Linked DNA regions of Struthio camelus. The protein of the gene in region 1 purifies or fractionates together with the protein of each later gene. This does not show direct contact. Links are inferred from orthologs where the notes say so. Each region holds a gene or a part of one and is shown in the gene's direction. Other genes may lie near its edges.

Region 1 (6,924 bases):
AAGATTAATCTTAATATATCATATGGTAAAACTTCCTTACTGTTTCATTGTCTTTGACTTCATTTTATATTCTTTTAAATGAAACATTACTCATTTGCTTGTTGTTTTTGGTGGTTTTTTGATGCCCTACTAGACATAAATGAAGAATCTGTGAGGTATACATTAAAGCTCATCCACCCCAAATTAGAGTATCAGCAGCTGTTGGCCAAGAAGGTTCACTTAATAGATGCTTTGAAAGTAAGTATTCTCCTCTGAAGGATTTTTGTGTGGGTTATGTTGGCAGATATCAAGCTGTAAGGCTCAAGTCAGCATGTGTTATAATGTTGTCTAATCTTTTTCTGTTCCCAATACATGTGTAGTAGTCGTCTAGGAGACAAACATTTTAAAGTAAAACTCCTATTTGTAGTATATAACAGTGAAAAACATAGAATTACTGATTGTTGTTGAGGATGTTTAAATCAGATAGTAGACATGGGCAGCTGATTCCTTCTTGCGCTGGCCTCCACCAAAGGACTAGTTGTCTGAACTCTTTGGTTAGTGGAAAAACTTTACTACCGGTGACCACACAATATATTGTAAATTTTTATTTTATTATCAGTAAAAGTATTTTACTTAAGCTTGATTAAACAAACCTGAGAGATAACAAAATAATAATTTATTCTTACTGCGTGATATGTTTCTGCATAAATAATGATGTTGCAGCTCTTGGAGAAAGTGTTTTGTGCTTGCTTTTAGGCTTTTTTTGTTAGCAAACCTTAAACTTTGTGTCACTGGTATCTAAATAATTTATTTATTAAGAGGCAGTGAAATAATCTGGCGACTGATAAAAGCTATTATTCCTGGAGACTCAAATGCATAATTACCTTCAGTCTAGAAAAAAACCAGTCTTTCTGTATGGGATAAAAGGATCTATGTTGATTTGATCTAATAGTAGACTGAGGCGTTTAGAAGATGTCTTTAAAACCTTTTGCTGTTAGGAGTTCAGCAGTACTTTTGGGATTTACTTTTACCTTTAGACTTTTAATGTGTGCTACACTTCCTAGGAATTTACTTATTCTGTAAAAGAATGTACTTACTCTGTAAATATACTTATTCTGTTAAAGGTGTTTATTCTGTAAAAGCGTGGTGAAGGCTTTGGGCCTTCGTTAGGCTTGATTCTGTAGAGGCTGAGCTGCAGAGTGATCCTGTTCTGGCAGCACTCGGAGCTCGAAGATGTAACACGTAGCATTGTGAGAATCTAATGTATGAAGTGACAAGTAACATCTGGCATTTCATTAGAAGACCTAGAAAATAAGGCACTTCTAAACTAGCAAGAGTTATGGTGAAGGGCATTGTCCCTGAGGTATTTCCTCCTGTCAGATCCAAGCTGATTTTTTTTTTTTGTTGCTTTTATGTTTGTTTAGTACGTACCAGTCTCTAATTTTCACAATTTAAAATGTCTTTGAGGAATTACAGGTTCATGAAGGAAATGTGGACTTCCTGCTACCTAAGTACCGTAGCATTTTAGAAGAGGCAGATCAGCTGCTTGAGGAATACAAGAAACAACCTGCACATCTCGAGAGACTTTATGGTGTGTTGATTAACCCAACTTTTTTTTCTAAATGCAAATTAATGTTCAGAGAACACATTGGACGTGACTGAAATAGTTAGGAAGTCAGTATCTGTAGCATTGAAATAATATGATAAGGGGGTACTTTTAAATAGCTTCGGGAGACCTAGAGGTGTCTAGCCATATATGTCCATCTGCTCATACAGCTAGGCTGGATGGCTACACAGTATTTTTGATCATAACCTTCCAAAGTTAAAGGTAAGGTAGTAGAACTTAGCACACACCAAAACTGGTTCTGCTACTACAAATTTAAATAACTCTCCAAAGGTCCTCAAGAATTATTTGCCTGAGAATTTCTAAAATTGTCTTACTATCATAAGCTTAGTGCTGCAAATGCAAATACAGGATTATTAGCAAGTTACTTTTGTATTTTCTATTACGCAGCTTTTCATATTCGGATGATCCTTGTCTTTATGCATATGATGCAGAAATGTATTCTAATTCAGGATGGCGTTTAAGAATATATTTAAGTTGAATGAGTGATTAAGTTCTGCCACAGGAAAAAGACTTTTACAAGTTAACAGAAAAGCAGAAAAATACACATGGGATGGGAAGGGAGAATCTTTGATGTAATTAAGTGAAGGAAATTCTGTTAACTTTTCTGGTGCTCCCCATATAGCCTTTAGCTCAAGTAATCTCTGCCAGGTGCTAATTTGATAATGTATCCATTATAAACCCAGTTCTCCTTTCATACCCTTTGACAGTTCCTTTCTCCGGAGTGTTTCAAGTATGGGTAATTCTAAGGCAGAAATACCTGCTTTGGAATGAAGCTGGAATCTGGGCTAACAGGAGAGTGCTTTGGGTTTATTCAAAAGAAAATCATTGTTTAAAACATGAAGTTTAAAAACGGTCTCGTGTCTAAAACCAAAATCGACTAGAATAGTCTATACATAGCAAAGAGTTAATAGTAGAGATATCTCATGGTGAAAACAAGGCAAATAAAAATCTTGGAACTTTATTTTGTAGGTATGATCACAGATCTCTTCATAGATAAATTTAAATTTAAAGGCACCAATGTGAAAACGAAAGTTCCTCTTCTTCTGGAAATTCTGGATGGCTGTGATCAAGATGGACTAATTGCTTTTTTTGAGGCTGCAGCCTGAATTGGAAGCAACAAGGAAAAGGCGGAGTGATTTATTTTTTTTTATTTTTATTTTTTCAACCAAGGCAGTCCACTATGGAGTCGAATACATTATTTTTTGAGAAATGTTTTTATTATTCCTTTTACGCTTTCATTTTATTCTTACTTATTACCATATTGAATACTGGTCCATTTTAGTTCATATAAACTGTTGTACGTGTTAAATGCACACGTCATTTATATATACACAAAATGTTCTTCATAGCTAAGGAAAACTAGAGAACCAGATACTGAATAGCCTTTTTGCAGGAGTACGTTTTCAGTATTGTTAGAGACTATAAATAGGAATATTCTCCATTTGGAAGAATGTATGAGGAAATTTGTTTTCATGGACTTAGGACAGTTAGGAGAAAATCAGCTGTTTGATGTGTAGCTATATTATTTGTTAGCGGTACTGAGCAAGTGCTTCAATGCTATCAGCACATTGTATGTAACTGACACACATGAAAGTGGGGAGAATTATCTCTGAATTTTAGATTTACACGATTACTTTAAAAACTGCATGTGAACTCTTGTTTAGAATGGATTGCATTAAATTTCCTCCATGCGTCTCATTTGCCTCAATTCTTCATTTTGTAACTCATTCCAAGTTACTTTCCAGTACTCTTTACTGAAAAATCAGTGTGCTCTTTAGCATCTGACTTTTTAATTTAAACTTAAAAGACATTAAACAGCCTCTGGATAGAGGTGTGTGTGTGTGTGTGTTCTTATTTCCTGAGCAACGAAAATAAAGAAGAATAAGTCATGACATTAAGTAGGAAGGCAAAGATTGAAAAACAGTTCAAGCACCAGTGCTGGGCTGCTTCCCTGGCGCGGGACCCGGGGGGGGGCGGGACTCCCTGCCCGCCGCCCACTGCGCATGCTCGCTTCCTCCCGCTCCCCAAGCCACGCCCCCTCTCGCCGCAGGCCACGCCTGCGCTCCGCAGCGCGCCTCTCCCCGTTCTCCCTTGGCCCCTGCCGCTGCCCGTAGGCCGCGTGACGCGCCGCCGCCCGCGCGCGCTCCTCATTGGCCGGTTCAATAGTCGCGGGCTACTTGAACGGCGAGAGCGGCGCCGCCGCGCGACACTCGGCCGCCCCGGGAGCCGGCACGCGTCGCGCCCGTGCCCTGCCCTGCCCTCCCCTCCCTCCGCCGGCAGCGGGGCCGCCCGGCCCCGGCCCCGGCCCGGCGGCGCGATGATGTTCGCGGAGCAGGAGAACCAGGAGAACGTCCCGCCCGGCGGTGGCGGCAAAGCAGCGCCGCCGCCGCCGCCCTCCTCCTCCGCCGCCGCCGCCCGCGTGGCGCTGGGGCTGCTGCGGGGCCCCCCGGCGCGGGCCGGGCCCCCGCCGCAGGCAAGTGCGGGGCGGGCGGGGGCGCGCGCGCGGGGCGGCGGCGGGGGCGCGCGGCGGCGGGGGGGCGGGGCGATGCGCGCGGGCCGGGGGCGCCGGCCGTGGCCATCTTGGCGCGGCGGGAGCTGTCAGGGCGGCTGTCAGCGGGGGCCGGGCCGGGCCGGGCGGTGCTGACGGGCCGCCCCCTCGCAGGCGGCGCGGAGCGGTGGTGGCGAGGGCCATGCAGCGGCGGCGGCACCGGGGCGGCCGGGCGGCGGCGGCCAGCCGGCCTTCGCCATCCATGTGGACGAGCCCGACGGGGAGCAGCAGCGGCGGCGGCGACGCGGGGCGGCGGCGGCCGAGAAGGAGGAGGAGGCGGCGGCGGCGGCGGCGCTGGGGCTGCGGGCGGCCGTGAGCGGCCTGGGGGAGCGGCGGCCGTTGGCGCCGCTGGGCAGCAGCCTGGAGCTGAGCTGCGGTGAGTGCCGGGCGCGTCGCGGCGGGGCGGCCGGGCGCTGCCCCGAGGCCGCCGGCGGGCCGCGGCCGCCCGTGCCGCTGCTCACGCGGCCGTTGTGCCCCGCCGCAGATTCGCCCAGCGTTATGGACATCTCGATAACCTCCGACGCGGGAGAGAGGAGCCCCAACGTCAACAACGTGCCGGACTACGTCGGCGATATCCACACGTACCTCAGGGAAATGGAGGTGAGAAGCTGCGAGCTGCCGCGGTTCGAGCAGGGCTAAGGGCGGGAGAAAGCCCGGGCCGAGAAACGTACCGGAGCGCTACTTAACTGCTACGGTGGCCAAAGCAGAAGGCTGCTAGAAAGGGAGAGGGAGAAGATGGGTGCTGTGTCCGCTGCTGCGAACGCAGGACTGCTCTTGCGTCCTGTGACTGTGCTACGCGCTGCGGCCTAAGCGGGAAAGCAAGACTACAGAAAAAGTGCTTGCTGATCCTACGTTTGCCGTTGCTGGCTGCTTCTGCCCTGCTTAAAACCCTTTAACTACGATAAATAGAGTTGAAATGCCTGCTTCCCTGCAAGCACTTAATGCAAACTAAACCTTGTATGTTATCAAAACTTACAGGTGAAATGCAAGCCTAAAATGGGTTACATGAAGAAGCAACCTGATATCACAAACAACATGCGGGCTATTCTTGTGGACTGGCTGGTGGAAGTTGGAGAAGAATACAAATTACAGAATGAAACCCTGCACTTAGCTGTAAATTACATTGATCGGTTTCTTTCTTCAATGTCTGTTCTAAGAGGAAAACTGCAGCTTGTGGGTACTGCAGCTATGTTGCTTGCATCGTAAGTGAAACTGCTTAATTTAAAATTCCACCTGCTGGTCTCATACAGATGGAAATCTTCTCTTGTGGCTATCATGTTTTGTTGTCTGTAGGCAGACTGACTAGGGATGGTTTCACACTAGGTAAGAAGCAGCAGTTATCCCCCTAAGAGCTTGGTAGCCTGTGTCAAACTCTGCAAGCGAGGTTCTAGGCTGTGTTTGTGGATTGGCCTAATGTGAGGATTCGTTATTTCTAGTTGCGGCAGCAAAAGACTTTTCAAACGTATTTGGGGGAAAGAACGTGAAAAGGAAATTTTGCTCGCAACTGTTAGTCTCCTAACACTTTCAGGAACTTCAGTAACTCTTGAGTCCCAAAGTACTTAATGGTAAAATTGCTGAGCGTAGCTCTCCATAACTTCAGAGTCTGCAGATCCAAGACCTAGTGAACTGGATGCAGCAAACTTATTGAGTTACAGTATACAGCTACTTGTCTTTCACTAACTGTTGCTGGTTACTTGGTTCTCTGCTACGCAATTACTTGCTTATAACTGTTCTTTATGGCAGGAAGTTTGAAGAAATCTACCCTCCTGAAGTGGCAGAGTTTGTCTACATCACAGATGACACCTATACCAAGAAGCAAGTTCTAAGGATGGAGCACTTAATTTTGAAGGTTTTGTCATTTGACTTGGCAGCTCCAACGATCAACCAATTCCTTACCCAGTATTTCCTACATGAGCAGACAAGTGCTAAAGTTGAGAGCTTATCAATGGTAAGTAAGAATTAATAGTTGAATCTGCGTAACTGGAAAGTTATCTTATTAAGGCACCTTACAAGCTCTGTTTTCTATTCCCAATAGAAAAGGAAAAATGGTAAAGGATACTTCAGTCCAGGCTTTTCTGTCTCCCAGTCTTTCTTAAATCAGTAACGTGACTCCTGAGGAGACTTCTGGAGAGCGCGCCTGCTGTGCCATGTGCTCCTCCAGTGGTGGGGCTCTGCCATTGGAAACTAACACTTTTGTCTGCTACTTAGTAGTGGAGCTACTCTGGCACCTGACCTGGCTCAAGCATGAATGCTTACTCAAAGCAGGCTGAGATTGATAAATTCAGGGTCTTTTTCCGTGCTGGATGTTTTCCCTGATGCTTTCCCACCTAAAATTAACACTCTCCTCCCCAAAAAGGGACATCGTTTCTTAAGTCTCCATGTTAAAATTTCCTGTGGAAACTGAATAGGGATCAATGCATAAACGTATTGGTCACCGAAAACTAACGTCTTGAATAGCTAGTATCTTGTCTGGGTGGACTTGTCCACTCAGTGGTTCAGTTTGGCTAGAAAGGACACTCACTTGTTTTTTGGGGAACAAGCATCGAGCTTTAAATCCAGAAGCTATTTTTTCGAAGCAAAGCAGAGCAAACATCTCGGGCTTATCTGGATAAAGTTAAGCTTTCTTAAACGCAAAGATGCCAGGTGTGGCAGGTGCCAGAAACGCTAAATGGAAGCAGTTGTCTCGCTAGGCGAAGGTCAGACGTGACTGGACTCTTCCCTCTAGATCTTACTTACCTCTAAAGATAAAAACGTGGTATTGAAACAGTTT
Region 2 (7,331 bases), on another chromosome or scaffold:
CCCCAGAGACCCCCCAGAGGGGACGGGAGCTGCCCAGGGGTCCCCTAAAATGCCCCAGGGACCCCCAGAGGGGCTGGGAGCTGCCCAGGTGTCCCCCAAAATGCCCCAGGGACCCCCAGAGGGGCTGGGAGCTGCCCCAGGGACCCCCCAGAGATGATGGGAGCTGCCCAGGAACCCCCAGAGATGACAGGAGCCACCCCAGGGATCCCCAGAATGCCCCAGGGACCCCCAGAGATGATGGGAGCTGCCCCAGGGACCCCCCAGAGATGACAGGAGCCACCCCAGGGATCCCCAAAATGCCCAAGGACCCCCCAGAGATGATGGGAGCTGCCTAGGGGTCCCCCAAAATGCCCCAGGGCCACCTAGAGGGGAATGGGTGCCACCTCAGGGACCCCCAAAATGCCCCAGGGACCCCCAACCTCTCCCAGAGACCCCCCCAAAGAGCCGTCCCTGAACCCCCAGCCTGCCTCGCTGCTCCTTCCCCCCAGCGAAGGGGCCCCGGCGTCCGGCTCCCCGCCGCTGAGCGCATCGTCTCCCATCTCTCTCCCCCGCCGCAGGTGGTGGCGGTGCCGGCGCGGGGGGCGGAGGAGCCCCCCGGCGCCCAGGCAGCACCGGGCAGCCCGCCGGGGGGATCGGGTTCGGACAGCGAGGCCTCGGCCGCCCCCCGGGACGGACCGCGCCGCCCGGGCTCCGGCGCCCACTCGCCCTCGTCGCCCATGAGCAGCGACGGCGACTCCGAGCTCGAGGACGAGGACCTCAAGGCCGAGCTGCAGCAGCTGCGGGAGAAGTAAGGAGAAGGCCGGGCAAGGGGCCCAGGCGTCCGGGGCCACCCTCCTCGGCCCCCGAGTGACGGCCCCGTCGCGTCCCCCCCGTCCTCGCCAGGCACATCCAGGAGGTGGTGACGCTGCGGGCGCAGCAGGACCGGGAACTGCAGGAGCTCTACGCCCGCCTGCGGGCCCTCAAGGACGCCCGGGGGGAGCCCGGCGAGCCGGGGCCGCCCCCCGCCTCCCCCCGCCGGCCCCGGGCCCTCAAAGGCAAAGCCCGGGGGCGCCCGCCGGCCCCCGGCCCCGACGCCGGCCCCGCGCTCGCAGGTGAGCACGCGCCCGGACGCCTGGGCCCGCCGCGGGAGGCTCGGACCGCTCCGGGGAGGGGGGATGCCTGGGCCCGCCGCGGGGGGCTCGGACCGCTCCGGGGAGGGGGGACGCCTGGGCCCGCCGCGGGGGGCTCGGACCGCTCCGGGGAGGGGGGACGGGGACGCCTGGGTTTTCGGGGGGGGGGGGGCGGTTCGGGGGTCTGGCTCAGCCCCGTAGCAGCCACCAGCGAATCCCCGCCGCGTCCCCAGAGCGCGGCGGCCCGCCGGCCCCCCGCTCCTCCTGCTCCGCCGCCAGCGACTCGCAGCCCCCCAGCGGCTCCCAGGGTCCGGCTCCGCCAGGTACCGGAGGACGTGCGCCTCCCCCCTCCCAAAAACCCCGCGGCCCCAGGACGCCTGGGCCCCTCGCCGGCAGCTTAACGGCGCCCGCGTCCCGCAGATCCCTGCCGGCCGCCGCCGGCCGCCAAGAAAGGCCTCTTCACGGACGACTTCCACCGGCTGGTGGACGAGTGGGCGCGAGAGACGGCCGGCGCGCCGGGCCTCAAGCCCAGCCTCAACCAGCTCCGGCAGAACCGGGGTCGCCCGGAGCCCGACGCCCGGGCCAGGACCGTCGAGGTGAGGGGGGCTCCCGGACGCCTGGGTCCGCTCCGGGGGGCCCTGCTTTGAGTTGCCACCTCCTTCCCCCTTCCACGCCCCGATCCTCTTCCCTCCCCGTCCCGTCTCTTGTCTGTGTCTCTCTTTCCGCCGGCGCCGCAGGGCTCGTCCTCGTGGGCGTCCACCCTCCGCGGCGTCCGGCTGCCCCGCTGCGGCCCCTACCCGCCCCGGTGGGTCCCGACGCCTCCGCCCGGCCCCCCGGGTCCGGCCCTGCGCTGCCCCGTCCCGCCGGCGCCCAAGTGAGGGAGACGACGATGCCGGACGCCGTCGCCCCCGGACAGCCGCCGCCGCCGGCCCCCGCGCCGTCTCCGCCGAGCCAGGAGCTGCCCGGTTCGTGCTAGAACCGCCTCGTCTCGCCCCCGAACCGCCCCGTTTCACCCATAGACCACCCCCTTTCACGCCAAAACCGCCCCATTTCACCCCCGAACCAGCCTGTTTCACCCCAGAACCGCCCCGTTTCACCCCTAAACCACCTCATTTCACCCCAAAACTGCCCCTTTTCACCCCAAAACCAGCCTGTTTCACCCCTAAACTGCCCCCTTTCACCCCAGAACAGCCTCGTTTCAACCCCAAACTGCCCTGTTTCCCCCCCAAACCGCCCAATTTCACCCCAAAACTGCCCCCTTTCACCCCAGAACCAGCCTCTTTCACCCCTAAACTGCCCCCTTTCACCCTCGAACTGCCTTGTTTTACCCCAAAACTGCCCTGTTTCACCCCAAAACCACCCCCTTTCGCCCCAGAACTGCCCTGTTTCACCCCAAAACAACCCCGTTTCACCCCCAAACTGCCTTGTTTCACCCCAAACCACTCCCTTTCACCCCAGAACTGCCCTGTTTCACCCCAAAACTGCCCTGTTTCACTCCCAAAGCAGCCTCGTTTCACCCCAAAGCAGCCTCGTTTCACCCCCAAAATGCCCTGTTTCACCCCCAAACCACCTCATTTCAGCCCAGAACTGCCCCATTTCACCCTGGAACTGCCCAGTCTCACCCCAAAACCGCCCCATTTCATCCCCAAAACCCCTCATTTCACCCCAAAAACCTGTTCCACCCCAGAACCACCTCGTTTCACCCCCAAACCTCCCCCTTTCACCCCAAAACTGCCTCGGTTGACCCCGAGCTGCCTCAGCTGAGCCAAAACTGCCTCGTTTCACCCTAAAGCCTGTTTCATCCTAAAACCACGTTTCACCCCGAAACCTCCCCATGTGCCCAAGGCCCCCCCGTTTTGCCCCAAACTGCCTCGTTTCACCCCGAAACCCCCTTGTTTGACCCAAACGCCCACGTTTCCCCCGCCCCGTTTTCCTCTTGGTTGCCCCTAACGGCCTCGGTTCAGCCCCGCTCGTCCGACCCCAAAGTGGCCCGGTTTTGCCCCAAAACACCTCATTTTCCCCCAAAACTGCCGGTTCCCCCCCCCCACATCCCAAACCGCCTCATTCGGTTTCCAAACCACCCCAGTGGAGCTGAAACCCCTCGGTCACCTCACGAACGTCCTCGTTCTGCCCCGAAACCCGCCGTTCCACCCCAAAATGCCCCCAAACCGCCCCGTTTCCCCCCAAAAGGCCCTCGTTCACCCGACAACGGTGCGTGGGCCTCCCCCCAGCGCCGCGGTTGCCTCTCTTTGGCCCCCAAACCCCCTTGTTTCGTCCCAAAACTCCCAGTTGCGCCCCCCCTTCCCCCTCCCCACGCGATTTGGGGCGTAAACGTGGGGTTTTGGTCCATCTACCTCATTTCAGTCCCTTCCCCCCCTCCATGGTCTCCCCCCCCCCAAAAGGCCAGCGAGGTTTCGGGTCTGCTCCGGGGGCGGGGGCTGGCGCGGCCCCGCGTTTATTTTTTTTTTTGGACGGATTGTTACAAAGGAGTAAAAACGGCAAAAAAAAACACCAAAAAAAGGGAAAATAATAAAAACCCACGTGGAGAAGCGGGTGTTTGTGAGGCGGTGCGTCACTTCCAATATGGCCGCGGCGCGGCGTCCGCGCCACTCCCAAGATGGCGGCCGTCTGGACGGCAGCCGCCGCGGGACATGCCGGGTGTGTTGGGGGGGGGAAGAGAGAGAGAGAGAGAGCGAGAGCGAGAGAGAGAGAGAGAGAGAGAGAGAGAGCGCGAGCGTGTCCCGCCACTCCCAGCATGGCGGCCGCTGCCTGCGTGGGCGCTGCGCTTGCGCGACCTCCCCATGATGGCGGCGCGGCCGGGACGCTCGGCTCCGCCCCCGCCTCCGCCACCTTCCGGTGACCTCAACATGGCGGCGCGGCCCCGCCCCCTCCTTCCCGTTCCGCGTTTGAATAAACTTTATTGGGAGGCCGGAGCCGAGCAGCAGCGGCGGCGGCGGCGGCGGCACCGGCGTCGGGGCCTGGGGGGCCTTTAAGGGGGTCGCGGACCTCGGCGGGGGGGGTCGAGGCCCTATAGAGCCGAGGGGAGCGTCCGGGGGGGGCCTATAGGCCCGGGGGGAGGGGTCCCGGGCCCATATAGACCCGGAGTGGGGCGTCCCGGGGCCCTATAGAGCCGGCGGGGGGGGCCTATAGGGCCAGAGGTGGCCTATAGAGCTGGGGGGGGCTATAGAGGTGGGTGGAGGGGGGCAGGGCCGCGTTGACCCGGGGAGACCCTATAGAGGGGTGTTATAGGGAGGTTAAGGGGGAGGTAGAGCCGTTATAGAAGGGGGGGGCCCTATAGGGAGCTGAATTCCCCATAGGGGGAGGGGGGGGTCTATAGGGCAAAGGGAGCGGCGGTGAGGCCGGGTCCGCGCGGAGAGGAGCCGAAACCATCCCGTAAAGTTCCCCCCCCCCCCATAGCAAAAAGCAGGAGAGATCTATAGGGGCTACGAGCAGCCCTTTTCTATAGGGGAAGCCCCGCTGGTGCCCCCCCAGCACGGAGGGGGGGGTAGGGGGGGCTGCCCCTATACGACGCCGCAGGGCTGATGCCCTGGGGCGGGGAGAGGGGGTCCCGCCGGGGAGGAGGGCGCCTATAGCGGGGGAGGGGGTGCCTATAGCGGGAGGGGGGCACCTATAGCGGGGGGGAGGGGCGGGTGGGCGCCATGGCCTCGGTGCCCGTGTACTGCCTGTGCCGGCTGCCCTACGACGTGACCCGCTTCATGATCGAGTGCGACGTGTGCCAGGACTGGTTCCACGGCAGGTGGGGGCCGGCGGGGCCGGGGGGGGGGGCCGGGGTCGGGGAGGCGGCGGGGGCCGAGCCGTCCCCTATACACGCGCGCCTACAGCTGCGTGGGAGTGGAGGAGGAGGCGGCGGCCGAGATCGACCTCTACCACTGCCCCAAGTGCCAGGAGCTGCACGGCCCCTCCGTCAGTGAGTATCCGCTCGGGACGGTGTGGTTTTTTGGGGGGGGGGGACACGCGGTTCGCGGCGTCTCCTCAACGCCGGCATCTCCCCCCTCCCCGACTCCGCAGTGAAGCGGCGCCGCGGCCTCGCCAAGCAGCCGGACGCCGAGCCCGGCCGCGCCGTCCGCACCGGCAGCGCCCAGTTCGTCCGGGAGCTGCGAGGCCGGACTTTCCCCAGGTGAGAGGGGTGACGGGGCCGCTCTGCCCCGGCGTCGGGGCGGTTTTGGTTTTATACCCGCTTGACGGGGCGCTCGGGGCGGTGGGCGCCGAGCCCCCCGCCCCGAGCGAAGCGCGGCTTCGCCGGGACGTCCGAACCGGCCGCGCGCGGGCGCCGTCGGCGTCGCTCCCCTCGCCCCGGGGTTGGGGGGGGGGGCGTAGGGCGCGGAGCCGGGCGTTACGGGGGCCGTTCCAGCGCCGACGAGGTGCTGCTGAAGCCCAGCGGGGCCCAGCTGACGGTGGAGTACCTGGAGGAGAACAGCTTCAGCGTCCCCATCCTGGTGCTGCGCAAGGAGGGGCTGGGCATGACCCTGCCGCCCCCCACCTTCACCGCCCGCGACATCGAGCACTACGTGGGTGAGGAGCCCGGCCGGCGGCGGCGGTGGGGCTGCGGGGCAGGCTCAGGGCGCGTGGGAGCCCGTAGCGGCGCCTATGTCGCGTGTGGGGCAGCCCAGGGGCGCGTAGGGGCGTCTGTGGGGCCCGTGGGGCGGGCTAGGGGTGTATAGGAGCATCTGTGGGGTAGGCAGGGGGTGCTTAGGGTGTCTGTGGGGCCCGTGGGGCAGCCTGGGGGTGCGTAGGGTGTGTATGGGGCAGGCAGAGGGTGCATAGGGTGTCTATGGGGCCCGTGGGGCAGCCTGGGGGTACAGAAGGATGTTTTTGGGGCAGCTTGGGGGTGTGTAGGGTGCGTATGGGGCAGTCTGGGGGTGCATAGGGTGTGTATGGGGCAGGCAGAGGGCGCATAGAGTGTGTATGGGGCCTGTGGGGCAGCCTGGGGGTGCATAGGGTGTCTATGGGGCCCGTGGGGCAGCCTGGGGGTACAGAGGGATGTCTTTGGGGCAGCTTGGGGGTGCGTATGGGGCCTGTGGGGCAGCCTGGGGGTACAGAGGGACGTCTGTGGGGCAGGCAGGAGGTGTATAGGTTGTGTATGGGGCCCGTGGGGCAGGCTGGAAGTGTGTAGGGGCATCTATGGGGCAGACAGGGGGTGCCCAGGGTGTCTATGGGGCCTGTGAGGCAGACTAGGGGTGCATAGGGGTATTTCTGGGGCAGACTAGGGGTGCATAGAGGTATCTCTGGGACAGGTTGGGGGTGCCTAGGGCCCGTATGGGGCCCATGGGGCAGCCAGAGGGTGCATAGGGCATCTATGGGGCCCATGGGGCAGCCTGGGGGTACACAGGGACGTCTCTGGGGCAGGCAGGGGGTGCCTAGGGTACGTATGGGGCCCGTGGGGCAGGCTGGGAGGGGTCTGGGGCAGGTTGGGGGGCCGGCGTGGGGGCGCGTGTCTGCCCCCCAGCCGTCCACCCTGCCCGCGCCAGGCCCGGACAAGGAGATCGACGTGATCGACGTGGCGCGCCAGGCCGACTGCCGCATGCGGCTGGGCGACTTCGTGGCCTACTTCTGCGGCGCCCGGCGCGACCGCGTCCTCAACGTCATCAGCCTCGAGTTCTCCGACACCCGGTACGGCGCCCCGGCCCCGCGTCGCGTCCAACCCGCCGCGGCACGGGGTCCCCCGGCCCTGACGCCCTCGCGGCCCGCAGGCTGTCCAACCTGGTGGAGACGCCGCGCATCGTGCGCAAGCTCTCGTGGGTGGAGAACCTGTGGCCGGGCGAGTCGGTGTTCGAGCGGCCCAGCGTGCAGAAGTACTGCCTCATGGGCGCCCGCGACAGCTACACCGACTTCCACATCGACTTCGGCGGCACCTCCGTGTGGTACCACGTGCTGCGGGTGCGCCCCGGGGCGGGGGGTGTCGGAGGCTCCTGGGGTCTACGGGACGGCCGCGCGCTCCTGCCGACGCCGCCTCTCGCGTCCCGCAGGGCGAAAAGGTTTTCTACCTGGCCCGGCCCACCCCGGCCAACCTGGCCCTCTTCGAGGCCTGGAGCAGCTCCAGCAACCAGAGCGAGATGTTCTTCGGCGACCAGGTGGATCGGTGCTACCGCTGCCCCCTGCGTCAGGGCCAGACCCTCTTCATCCCCACTGGTACGATCCCGCGACATCCTCTGGGTTCTCTCCGATCTTCTCCAGATCCCCCCAGGTCCTTTATCCGTCTTC

The links. The genes of interacting proteins can lie anywhere in the genome.
Region 2: the proteins of CCNA2 (region 1) and PHF8 purify together in Homo sapiens (affinity purification with mass spectrometry; 3 studies listed by BioGRID and IntAct, counting the BioPlex papers as one, with this or other methods). This does not show direct contact. The link is inferred for Struthio camelus from reciprocal best matches to the Homo sapiens genes CCNA2 and PHF8.

Annotation. Positions count from the first base shown.
Region 1 is NC_090945.1:19,619,232-19,626,155, forward strand, and holds the start of CCNA2 (cyclin-A2), read left to right. Parts: upstream 1-3,923; coding exon 3,924-4,079; intron 4,080-4,268; coding exon 4,269-4,530; intron 4,531-4,638; coding exon 4,639-4,754; intron 4,755-5,132; coding exon 5,133-5,356; intron 5,357-5,897; coding exon 5,898-6,102; intron 6,103-6,924. Other genes in the region: BBS7 (Bardet-Biedl syndrome 7 protein), read left to right, coding at 1-25, 134-237, 1,447-1,570, 2,576-2,712. UniProt on the Homo sapiens protein: Cyclin which controls both the G1/S and the G2/M transition phases of the cell cycle. Functions through the formation of specific serine/threonine protein kinase holoenzyme complexes with the cyclin-dependent protein kinases CDK1 or CDK2.
Region 2 is NC_090979.1:567,382-574,712, reverse strand, and holds the start of PHF8 (histone lysine demethylase PHF8), read left to right. Parts: upstream 1-4,318; 5' UTR 4,319-4,768; coding exon 4,769-4,866; intron 4,867-4,951; coding exon 4,952-5,037; intron 5,038-5,138; coding exon 5,139-5,247; intron 5,248-5,481; coding exon 5,482-5,642; intron 5,643-6,598; coding exon 6,599-6,740; intron 6,741-6,820; coding exon 6,821-7,007; intron 7,008-7,096; coding exon 7,097-7,259; intron 7,260-7,331. Other genes in the region: serine/threonine-protein kinase WNK3, read left to right, coding at 558-787, 883-1,091, 1,343-1,432, 1,530-1,705, 1,847-1,987. UniProt on the Homo sapiens protein: Histone lysine demethylase with selectivity for the di- and monomethyl states that plays a key role cell cycle progression, rDNA transcription and brain development.